Oryctolagus cuniculus: one gene and its partners. The protein of the gene in region 1 interacts with the protein of each later gene in a biochemical or structural test. Links are inferred from orthologs where the notes say so. Each region holds a gene or a part of one and is shown on either strand. Other genes may lie near its edges.

Region 1 (3,988 bases):
GGCAGAGCCATTTGAGCTGGCTTCTTGGAACAAAACCCAGAACATTTTGCTTTCTGCAAGAAAAAAATGTGTGATGCAGGCAAGATTTCAGAACGACACACACACAGTCTCCCAGGAGAGGCGGAACAGCGGCTCCTCTTTGGAGGAGCACGAGCCTTCTTGGTAGGGATCCCTGCTCGTCTCCCCACTGGCACTTCTGCGCTGAGGACACCCCGGTGCTGATTTCTCATGCAGAAGTCAATCACCTCATTTCCAATCCCCATTCTCTAAGTGATAATCGACACAGAGTGTCGACGGCTTGCACAGGGAAGTGATTACAGGCAACGTCTGTGTTTTTAAATAAAGAACAAAATTAACATTTAAATTACTTTTTGCCTTTCCACAGTGTACCCACGGCAACTTGGCCCCTGCAGAAGCTCTGCTTCATAAAGGCAAGGGAAGGTGTCGCGGCCTCTTTGTGGGTGGCCTCACCTCGAATTTCTGCCTGAGCTCCACGTTCCCATCTTCGTCCCCTTCCGGAATGGGCACATTGTAGTATTCACCTTCTTCTTGGTTCAGCAACTTGTACCTTTCAAAGACACAGGGGAGAAGGCAGTTAGGGGTGCTGTGACCACACCACTGCGGGTTCCCAAGCCTCCCACAACCCCAGTGGAGCTGCCTCGTGGCACGCATCCCGGGGAGAGTCCACAGCTGGCATCTGGACACTCATCAGGCAGTGCAAAGGACCTGCACGGCTTGGTCCAAGTCTCCAGATGGCTACCGTGCGGGACACCCTCAGCCTCAGGGGCTTCCTCACCATCCACTGGCTGGCATCTTCATGAGCTCCGAGACGCCAAAGGAGAGCGACCCCATGAAGTCATTCCTTGTTGTTCGGTCCCAGTCCCAGATTTCTACAGACAGTCGTCGGTCTTTGTCGGAGGGTTTTAATTTGCTGCAAAACACACACACACACACACACACACACACACACACATTGGCATATCTTGATCAGTATTTCTATGACATGGCCGTGATCTAAGCCTGAGATAGACAGCCAGTGTATTCTATTCTCTTTCTGTGCCAACAAAAAACCAACCCCTTACAATGGCAAGCAAAGCTCTAGACCAGGCCTTTGCAAACCATGACCCATGGCCCAAATCTGGCCCACTGTCTGTTTTTATCAACTTTATTAGAATGCAGCCATGGCCTTGTGTTTACGTATTGGCTACCATTGCTCTGACATGGGGACCTCACTGTGGGTGTGCAATGGAGCCTGGATGGCTCACAAAGCCCATCCCGTACAGAGACCTGCTTCCCATGGGCCAGTCTACACCTGTGCCGTCCCACCCGACTCCTTCAGCCCTCCTGCCCCCTCTTCCATCTCTACCTCTGAAGTCCTGGCAAATCCCTCAATTCCCACTTTAAACACTGCTGCCTCCGGGAAGTCCTCCCCGATTGAAGGCGAGGATGCTCACTTCAATGCCATCGACAGCCTCTGTGTTGACTTACTTTGCTTTCTACCTTATTTAAGCTTGTGCCTCATGCCCTCCCCTAAGGAACCGAAGTTCATCAGGAGATAAGATGCACGTTGCGCACTTTTACATCAAGTGTAACAGCTCACATAGAATATTTCTGGGTACAGAACAGGCAATGATCATCACGTGGGGCCTGTAGAACACAGCTCCCGGCAGAGGAAGGCACTGTCTGTTCACAGGGGTGATGGCAGCCGTCTGCCGGTGGCAGCCTGAGACAGCGCCAGGAAGGAAGGCAGCGTTACGGCCTTCATGGGGAACGTGCCTCGCTACCTCTGGCCACGGGGTGGGCAGCTGCTCAGTGGGCGGCAACGAAACTCAATCAAGAGGAGAGACCACTTACAAGGTAAAGGATTCGTTCCACTGCGGGTTCAGTGTGGAGCGGATGGTTTTGGTTTTTTGTTTACTTTCATTCTTGGGATCAGGAATGAGTTTCAGCTTCACGTAGGGATCTGAAAGCCCGTTGGGATCCATGGGGATCAGGTTTTTTGCATCTCGTACTGTGAAGAGAGAGGGAAGACGACGTTACCCACCCGAGAAGCGCCCCACGTGGACCTGTGTCCTGCCATGGATCCCACGCTGGACAAAAGCGACCACGTCACGTTTGAAGGGAAGAGGAGGTGAGACTCAAAAGGTCTGACTCAGCGCGAGAGGAGCTGCCTGTCACCATCACTGGCAGTCACTGGGCACCGTGTGGGTCCTGGTGCTCCGGCCTGGGCACCTGGCACCGCCTGACACTCAGGCACCCCCCAAACCTGCTGAAGTAGAACTCGCATTTCACAGGGGTCCCAGGTGACTCTGCGGCTCTCTGGGAGCAACACTACCCTCCCCCCGTCCGACCTGGGCCACGGAGCTGCACCCACACTGGAACTTCTAGAAAGTGCTCTTTGTAAAGGCTGGTGGTTTCCAACCCCAGCTGTACACTGGAATCACTCGGGGTAGAGGGTGTGAGATGCTCCAGTGATCAGAATTAAATCAGAGTGTTTTGAGGGAAGTGACCCAAGTACTGGGTTTTGAAAGTTCCCCGGGTGATTCGCTGTGCAGCAGTGGGCAGGAACCACTGGCATAGGCAGCTGAGATTGACAGTGGGTAGGTAGGCCCATGGTCTGGCCACCACCTGGCAGCCTGGTAGACACGCAGAACCTTGGCCCCACCTCAAAGGTACAACCTAACTCAGAGTTCTCTTTCTTAACAAGACGCCCAGACAACTCCAATGCACGTTTTAGCCTGAGAAGCACTAACATGGGAAACAAGAAGGCCATTTCACGGCCCAGGGAGGAGGCACAGAGAGGGGCTGGCAGGGGCTGATGACAGTGGGCGTGGCGGTCGGAAGCCAGGGTACATCAGTGTGACGGGTACGCTGATGCATATCTACCTGAGCCCAGGGCTAAGGAGATGCTAGCCCCAGACAGAATCTTTCTTGGTGTCACAACCAAGATTGAGAGAAAATAGAAAAGGGGAGAGCTTTCTCACCATGTAAATTAATGCTTTTTCATATCAGTTCATGGGGCCAATGCTGTGGCTTAGTAGGCTAAGCCTCTGCCTGTGGTGCCAGCATCCCATGTGGGCACCAGTTTGTGTCCTGTCTGCTCCTCTTCCAATCCAGTTCTCTGCTAATGGTTTGGGAAAGCAATGGAAAATGGTCCAAGTTCTTGGGCCCCCCTGCCTGTGTGGGAGACCCAGAAGAAGCTCCTGGCTCCTGGCTTCGGATTGGCTCAGCTCCAGCCATTGTGGCCATTTGAGGAATGAACCAGCAGATGGGAGACTTTTCTGTCTCACCCTCTCTCTCTCTGTGACTCTACCTCTCAAATTCAAACATCTTAAAAAAAATATCAGAACAGTGGGTTCAGAGACCACTGCCAAGTGAGACCAACACTCACATCCCCCAGCGGCCCTGTCGTAGGCGTGGGACACACCACTGGAGCGAGGACCAGTTCTGGAGCCGAGACAGATGTGGAAAACCCCAGAGCCCAGGAGCACCGTAGGCCCAGGCATCACTGGGGCACAGACCCTGCAGCTCATTTCTTGTCTCTCACTTTCTACAAGAACCAGATTGTAGACTGAATTAGGATAGGGGGAAAAATCATGCTACTTTGACCAACTATTGCGAATGAGACTTTTAAAAAAAAAATCTAACAGGCCCACTGAGGGTCCCAGAGGTGGACAGTCTAAACCTCGCCAAAGAGAAACAAGACATTTGCCTTGCGGGCTCAGTCACAGCGGCGCCGACCTCGGGACACAGTGACAGTGAGGTCCCCTCGCATCTCGTCAGCAGTTATGCATCTGGATGTGAAACGATGGCTGCTGCAGCAACGCATCTGTGCCGTGAAACCGGCCACTTCGGAGCGGAAGGTCTATTTTGTGATGCCAGGACTTTAATACAGAAACACAGAATACTAATTATACGCCCATCGCTTGGCTTGAGATGGGTACTCTGCAATTTCTCAGCTGCTAGGCCTAGCACTAAGGAAAACCAG
Region 2 (3,556 bases), on another chromosome or scaffold:
AGTGAGATCAACGGGCTGCTGGTGGGCTTCGGCCAGCAGACCTGCCTGCCCGTCCACCCCCGCTGCCAGTCCTGCCTCAACCAGACCCTGTGCCCGGCTGCCCGGGGCCGCGTGTGAAGTGCCTTCGCCTGGGAGCCACCGCCTGTTTAATAAAGCGTGGGGGTTGTTTGTATCTGGGGCCTGGCGACTTCTGTCTGCAGGGCCAGGAGCCGTGTGTGCACGTGTCACGTGGACGCACCCGTGTCCGGAGGGGGTAGCCATGGAGGCCAGGGTGGGGACAGGACGGCCCGCGCTGAGTCTGCAGTGGGCAGGGAGTGCGGGCAGAGAACCTGCAGGGAGGAAATGGGGGGAGGCAGCCTCTGGGCCACTGGCTGGGGATCTGAACCCCTGGCTCTCCCCTCCCACCGCGGGGGCTGCAGCCCAGCAACCTCTCAGCCCTAAGACTTCCCGGACCCCCACCCCCACGTTTCCAAAGTGGCATCGTGGCCTCGCTGGGCCCACCTGGAGGCTGGACTCCCCCGGAGGGTGCGGCCAGGAGGAGAGGGGACCTGGTTCCCCGAAGCCCCACACACAGCCGCCCCAGCCAGGCTGCCCCCAGGAATGGCTCCGTTCCTCCACGCCCCGCCCCCTGCTGAAGGCACACACAGGACGGTGGCAGGTCCAAGGCAGGCCTGTTTATTCCGAGGGCGCGCATGCGCTATGGCTTACAAGGCAGACAGCAGTGCTGGTCGGTCGGTTCGGGGGTTCAGGGGTGGGAGGACAGGCAGAGGCATCTGCCACTCTGCAGCGGTGGGTGCCAGGCAGGCACGAGGCAGGGCCCAGGGCTCGGGGAGGGGTGGGCGACTGGCGTGCCCCCGTGCCCAGGCCTGGGAGCTGTGGGAGCTGCGGAGCAAGACGAAGGGCCTGTCCAGAGGCTGCTCCGCGGGAGAGGGGATCCTCCAGCCTGGGCCCCAGGCCTAGCGACGGCCCCCACCAGGGAGCGCAGGGTTGGGGCAGAGGGGCGGCTCCCCCGGCTGGCTGTGTCCGGGAAGCCCCCAGGACTCTGGAAGGCCTGCCGAGGGGGTGGGGAGGAACTGGTTTGCAGAGAAAGGTTTGTTTTATTGCAATTATTTAGAGAGCCTGTCCCGAGGGAGCGGGGGAGGGGGCTCTGGTATTAAGTGGAAACATGTGTGCAGCTGAAGATCTTTTTGGGAAAAAAAAAGCAAAAACGCAAATTCCTTTCAGTCAGCAGGCCTGGGCCCACAGCAAAGGCCCTGGCCCCGTGGGCCGTGCCCTGCCCCCATACCAAACCCCTCTCTCTCTCTCTCTCTCTCTCTCTCTCTCTCTCTCTCTCTCGGTCTCTGCGTTATCTTTCTGGGTCCCGGCCTCTCTGGGTCTCTCCCCACCCAACTAGGAGCAGCTGCCTGGTCCCCAGCACCCAGTGGGTGGGAGGGGCGGGGTGAGGGCTCACGGGGGCACGGTTGGTTTCTGGGTGGCGGTGGGCCCACCCCCCAGTCCACTGAGGCGTGGGGCACTCGGCAGGCCCAGGTCCGGTGAGCAGGCGGTGGGGGCTCAGAAGTTGCTGAAGATCTCACGCTTCCGGTTCCAGTCCATCTGCGGTGCCCGCTTGTTGACGCGCGTGGCTCGCGCCTTCTCCTTGGCCTCAGCCGCCGTGGGGCTCAGGTGCAGGCCGCTCTCCTGGAAGGGGTCTCGCTTCCACGCACTGGCATCCTGGGGTGGGCAGGAAGCAAAAGTGAACCCTCGACCGCGCCGGCTGGGGACACCGGTGGGGCGGGGCCGGAGGTGGTGGCCCCCGCTGCCCAAGGCCTCCGGCCCCCCGTGTGTGTGAGCACCACAGTGGAGCCGGGAGGGCGTCTGGTTCCCTCGGTGTCCTTGTCTGAGCCGGGCAGGCTGCTTCCGGAGGAGCGTACAGAACCCCCATTGAGCTAGGAAACCAAGGGCAGGCTGTGCTCCGGGTTCCCACCTGGGGAGCCGCAGGTGCACACAGACGCTCCCACGCACACCACAGCTGCATCTGCCGCTCCTCTCAGCCACGGGCACCACGGCTCTGCTACTCTGCGGGCCCAGCCGGGCAGGACACGGGGTGCCCAGCAGTGCCCAGACAGCTGGCCGGCCCTGGGGAGCCTGGCATCCTGACCTGGGGCACTCAACAGCCAGGGAGTGCCGGTGGGGTAGGAGACAGGGCAGGGGCACCAGGACCCCAGGCCTCTGCCCACCGTGTGTGGCCCAGAATAGCATTAAAGCTGGGCCTGACAGACGGATGGGTCAGAGCTCGGTCTCACGCCCACCCCCATCCAAGGACAGAGACTGCCGGGGAGAGGACCCCCAGAGGTGCCCCTGCGGCCTCGTGGGCCCAGCCTCTCACCTGGGCAGGGCTGGTCCCATTGGTGATTGGTGATGGCAGTGGACCTGTGGGGACAGCATGTCTGTGGCTGCTCTGGCCCCCACACACGCCCCTCCCCGTGCCCGGGGCCGCCGCCCACCTTCCACGTGCTCCTCGGTGGGCGTGACCCGCAGCCGCTTGAAGTACTCGTCCGTCTCGGGGTCCACCAGCAGCAGCCGGGCCTCGTCCTCCTTGGCCTTGATCCTGGCCACCACCTCGGCGTGGCGCAGCCCCTCCACATTCTGCCCGTTCACCTGCCGCCAGCATCCCCACAGGTCAGCAGCCCGAGGGGCCCAGCCAGCCCCCACGTGGCCCCGCCAGGTGTGGCATCAAATATTCATCAAAGCCACCACCAGCCAAGGCCTGGAGAGGAGCGGGCGCCCGCTCAGGTTCCCGGCAGCTCCCTCCAGCAGGGGCCCGGGGCCGGACACAGACAAGGGCACCGATACCCTCCCTCACAGGGCTGAGGGCAAATCCCTGCAGACACACGCGGGGAGGCACACACACGGGCACCCGGCACCCCAAAGCCTCTGGGCTTCGTACCTCAATGAGCCGATCCTGGGCGCAGAGCCCGGAGTGGGCGGCCGGAGAGCCGGGGTCCACGGAGCGGATGTATTGGCCGGGCCGGGACTTGTCACTGTGCAGGTTGAACCCGTAGCCCTGGGGTCCCTTTCGCAGGTGGCAGAGCCTAGGACGCAGCTCCCTTGGGGGCCCGTTGACGTCCTGCACGTGCAGGGGACGCTGGCTCAGGCTCTGCCGCCAGCCTGCCTGGGCCACACACTCACTGTAGTGCCTCCGGCGGCCGCAGGGGAGGGGACGGCTCCTGCTGAGGCTGCCTGTGACGGAGCCCCCACGTCCAGTCCTGCTTCACGGGGGCCTCGGGGCTCCGTGCACACAGGCCGGGCGTGGCACGGGCCGGGCGTGTGAGACCAGCCGCTGACCTGCCTCCCTTCACAGCTCCTGGGGCGCCGGGCCCCAGGTCCACCTGTGCACTCCCCTCCTGCCGCCCCTACGCCCCACACCTCTGCCCCGTGTCAGCGTTCAGATCCCAGGCAATCTGCAGCCCCGCCGACCCCGTTCCAGGGGACCCGAGAGAAAGGGCTGGGCCGGACGGAGATCAGGGCCTGGCTCCCCCCCGCCGGACACCCTGAAGGCCTCATGGTGCCCCCGATG
Region 3 (3,988 bases), on another chromosome or scaffold:
TCACATCCACCTGTGAGTGTGCGGGTGAATGAGTGAATGGACACAGGCCTCCATCCCGCCCCCTGGCTACGTCTCCAGGATTTGTTCATTTTTTTGGCCAGGAAGAAGACAAGGGGCTCTGGGGGCTGCGACTCACAGGAGGCGTGGGTTCCCAACAAATGCGCTGCCCACCCCCAGGCCCCAGCCACACAAGCTGCCTCTGCGACACCCGTCCTCAGCCCACGCCCCGCCCTCTGTGTGCAGGGGGGCGGCCACCCCGACTGCAGCCGGCCCACGCCACGGAGACAGTGAGGGGACTTACGGGATTGCTCCTCATGGCTCCTCCCACGGCCCGGGCAGCCTTGGGGTTGCCTGCCAGGGCTGCTAATTGCTGGTAAGAAACCACTTCTCCGAATTTCACAACCTTCAGCAGCTTCCACAACACCTGTCTGGTGAACGACTCTGGAAGGGAAAATGCAGAGTGACATGATTTGGACAAACAGCTCTAACAGCCCTGATGTAAATACAGCTGCCAGCCCCAAACAGAAGACGCAGGGACACAAATGGAGGTGTTACACTCAATTAAAACGCAGCCTCGCACACCGCCGCGCCATCGCCGACACCAGAGCCGGGAGCGCGAGCAGGCACCAGGCAGGCAGGCCCCCGGAGGCCGGCCCGACCTTGGCCACATCTGTCACCTGCCTTCCTCTTGCCCACGTTCCACGCAGGACGCGTGGGACACGCTTGCCCTCGGAGCGCATGTCTAAACTAGCACACGGAGCGGCTAACAAGCACAGAAGTGCCGCCTGTCTGCCTACTTGGGAACCTTTTGTCTTCGTTTGTTTCCAACTTCAGCTGGGACACAGAGGGGAGAGGCGGCCATGGCCCAGGCTATGGTATTACGCTGGTTGTCCAGACCCAGTGCCCCGTAGCTTCTGGTACGGGGGGTGGGGGTGACCTCAGCTGCAGCCATCTTTAACCATCAGGGATGCACACACGGAGTAATTATATTCCCATTTTCACCGACCACATCAGACCGCATCTGCTCTGCACCCCGCCGCAGGAGTGAACGATGGATACATGGCGGCTGTCTCTCTCTCTCCTCCCTCTCGCATTCTCTTTCTCTGCCTCTGGGTGTTAGAAGTGCTTCCTGAGTGTAGAGTCTGCAGCACACAAATGCAGGCACTCGCGTGCCCGTGTGAATCGAGACGCCTGTCTTTCCAGAAGGCTGCTGGACTCGGGAGCGGAGATGGAGCCCGTCCTTGCCCGTCCTGGGGCTCCGGTGCCTCCAGGGGTGGCACTTCTCAGTGGCAACAGAGGACAGGGCCCACAGGCAGGAACTGTGCTCCGTATCCACAGAGCACTAATTACACTTGTGCCAGGCTGGCAAAGTGCGATTTGGCTCTTAAAGGAAACACACCCTTACACGCGTGTTAAATAATAAAAATCCCTTCTTAACTGAAGGGAGCGATAATCACTTCACTGGGAAAAAAAATCTGTTTAGTCTTTATTATAACATTAAGCAAATTAAACATCAGCATAATCCAGGTGATACTAGAAAAGGGTCATCAAAGAAATTAACTTTGTTGTTCATTAATTTACATGGATTAGCAGAGGGCGAGAAGGCAGCAAGTGTGCTCCACTTTTTTATGATATAATTTCAAACTGTACACCATTTGTGGCAGGAGGGTGACTTTGGGGTTAATCAGACTGATTTGTCCTTTTAATTGCTTTCTATTCAAAGAAAATTCATTAGATAATGTTCTCTTCAAAATTCATGAATCAATTTAACTGAAGAAACCACATTAACAGCTCTGGGTTCATTAGCACACGCGGTTGTGTCAGCGTGGAGCGCTGCAGGGACTTCCGTAGGCACAGACTCTGTTTACTGCCGCTGCTCCAGAACGGGGCTCGAAATCAGACTGCTAATGGGGCTTGTGTCGTCGCTGCTACTCGGCCTGACTTCGAAGAGGCAAAGCCGAGCCAGGCAGCCTGGTGTCGACGGCGGGAAAGGCTTCGGGGCCAGCTGTCCTGGAAGACACAATGCAAGCTGCGCTGTCCACACGGCAAGAGGCAGGTCGACTTCCTGCCTCGGGCACAGACCAAGAGCTCTGACCCAGGGAGGGCTGCTTCCAGGTAACCCGGGAGAACAGCCTGGGACGGCGCTGAGGCCGCGGGAGGGAAATGAAGGAGTGCAGACCTATCTGGAGCACGGAGCGGATCTGAAAAGCAATGGCGCCGTTCCAGTGCTGTCCTCTGGGCCAGCCCCGCGCGTGGCTCTGACAATGACCACTAAATACTGGCCCCTTTCTCTCCAAGAATTAACGTGTCACGTAATGAGACAAGAGCCTGTGCTCTGTCTCTGAGCACAGTTTATCAGACAAGGCTGGCTTCCCAGGCAGGAATGCGTAGGGAACCGTCTCATCACAGGGTGCACCAGGCAATACCTTAGAGCAAGGACAACCTGCAGAATGTGGAGTGTCGCCATCAAGCTCATGTCACTAATGCACCTGAGAACTCAGTTTCACGCTGTGGGGAGCAGGCCTCTTCGCTACTTTCAGCACCTCTCAGACATGGCGCTTTGCCTCTAGCCCGTGCACAGCCGGCTGGGGCGCCGCGCCCGCCTCTGAGGTCAGTCTAACCTCGGGGAAATCTGCTCACACAAGCAGCAAGGACGCAGAAATGGTAGCTTCTGGGGTTTAGGTGACCACGTGACTCCTCAGCTGGCCCGAAGGACCACTGCTGCCACCCCCTTCCCCATCTCGGTCCTGCCCCAAGAGCTGGCTGGCCCTGCAGGGCTGGGTGAAGCGGCCCCTGCGTGCCCATTCTGGATGCTCCTTTCCCTCCGCCCCTCCTCTTCTTTCTAACCTCTTCCTTTCTCCGGCCTGTTCCGGGGCCTTGGGCACCACGTGCCCCGTCGCGGAGGTCCAGGCTGATTCTGCTGGTGGCTGGACAGCTTAGCGTTCCCGCATCTTAAGGACGTGGCTGTTTGCATTTCGGCTTAGGTGGCTACTTAAGCACCCACTTGACACCTTCTCGTGTGGAGATGACGGTTTCTAAGTGCTCCTCCGCCTGCCCATGAGACGCCGTTGCCCGCTGCGGCTGGCTGTGGGGAAGCCATCTGTGTCCCGACGCCAGGCTTTCCCGCCAGGCCTCTGCACGCCAAGCTGTGAGCGGTGGTCAGGCATGGGAGGCGACCAGGCCGTCTGCACTCACATGTGTGGACTAAGTTGGCCAAGATGGCTCTGATGAAGGGGGATGTCACACGCCAGGGCAGGGCAGGTGGAGACAGGCAGGGGCCAGCTTGGCTCTGCACCTCCGATCTTAGGTGAGGTACTTCTTTCTCCTGGTCTCATCCTGACAGCCACCTTAATACACATGCCCTGCGCACAGCTGGGCTCAGAGAGCAGCCAGGGATCTGCCGGGCCGGCTGGGGCCGGCTGTCTCAGATCAGCCCCGTGACTGCCCCGGGTGGCAGAGCTGGGCACCTCCAAGTCCTGGGGGAGAACCTTCCTTCCCCTCGTCACAGCTGCTCCTGTGGAGGGGTGTGGTCTCCCGAGGGAGAGGCTGGGGTCCACCAGCTCATGCCTGGGTGTCGCTCCCCCTCTTCGTGGAGGAACGACACAGGACCCTGCCCTGTTCTTTCGTCTGCTCGGCCCTCCCCGGGTTTGCTGATGGTTCTTCCCGGGTTGGCTACTGTCCCTTCCACCTCCGTGGAAGGGCGGTTCCCCCTGCCACTTTCCCCACTTCTGCAGGGGAGTGGCACACCGCCGGCCGGCTCTCTCGGGGGCTGCACAGGTGTTCCTTCAGATAGATGTTCCCCTTAGATGTTCCTGGTGCATGTTGTCTCTCTCCTCCTTTATAGTCCTCTTCCACCAATCCCAACTCTCCTACCCACACGCTGAGTACGCTGCTCTCCTCCAATCAGGAGCAGGATCAGCTCCTGGAGGTCATCACTCAAGTTGGCGAGAGGCAGCTGCGTAGAAGCTGTTTCCTCCTCTCCCAGCGC

The links. The genes of interacting proteins can lie anywhere in the genome.
Region 2: the proteins of PRKCA (region 1) and NHERF2 form a complex in vitro, tested with the Homo sapiens proteins (2 studies listed by BioGRID and IntAct, with this or other methods). The link is inferred for Oryctolagus cuniculus from reciprocal best matches to the Homo sapiens genes PRKCA and NHERF2.
Region 3: of the proteins of PRKCA (region 1) and MGMT, one has a biochemical effect on the other in vitro, tested with the Homo sapiens proteins (2 studies listed by BioGRID). The link is inferred for Oryctolagus cuniculus from reciprocal best matches to the Homo sapiens genes PRKCA and MGMT.

The regions. Positions count from the first base shown.
Region 1 is NC_091448.1:12,868,108-12,872,095, reverse strand, and holds part of PRKCA (protein kinase C alpha type), read right to left. Parts: intron 2,012-3,988; coding exon 1,855-2,011; intron 932-1,854; coding exon 797-931; intron 569-796; coding exon 472-568; intron 1-471. UniProt on the Homo sapiens protein: Calcium-activated, phospholipid- and diacylglycerol (DAG)-dependent serine/threonine-protein kinase that is involved in positive and negative regulation of cell proliferation, apoptosis, differentiation, migration and adhesion, tumorigenesis, cardiac hypertrophy, angiogenesis, platelet function and inflammation, by directly phosphorylating targets such as RAF1, BCL2, CSPG4, TNNT2/CTNT, or activating signaling cascade involving MAPK1/3 (ERK1/2) and RAP1GAP.
Region 2 is NC_091450.1:33,190,136-33,193,691, forward strand, and holds the end of NHERF2 (Na(+)/H(+) exchange regulatory cofactor NHE-RF2), read right to left. Parts: intron 3,107-3,556; coding exon 2,927-3,106; intron 2,638-2,926; coding exon 2,484-2,637; intron 2,410-2,483; coding exon 2,366-2,409; intron 1,711-2,365; coding exon 1,552-1,710; 3' UTR 1,115-1,551; downstream 1-1,114. Other genes in the region: NTHL1 (endonuclease III-like protein 1), read left to right, coding at 1-1,114.
Region 3 is NC_091446.1:2,384,254-2,388,241, forward strand, and holds part of MGMT (methylated-DNA--protein-cysteine methyltransferase), read right to left. Parts: intron 442-3,988; coding exon 302-441; intron 1-301. UniProt on the Homo sapiens protein: Involved in the cellular defense against the biological effects of O6-methylguanine (O6-MeG) and O4-methylthymine (O4-MeT) in DNA. Repairs the methylated nucleobase in DNA by stoichiometrically transferring the methyl group to a cysteine residue in the enzyme.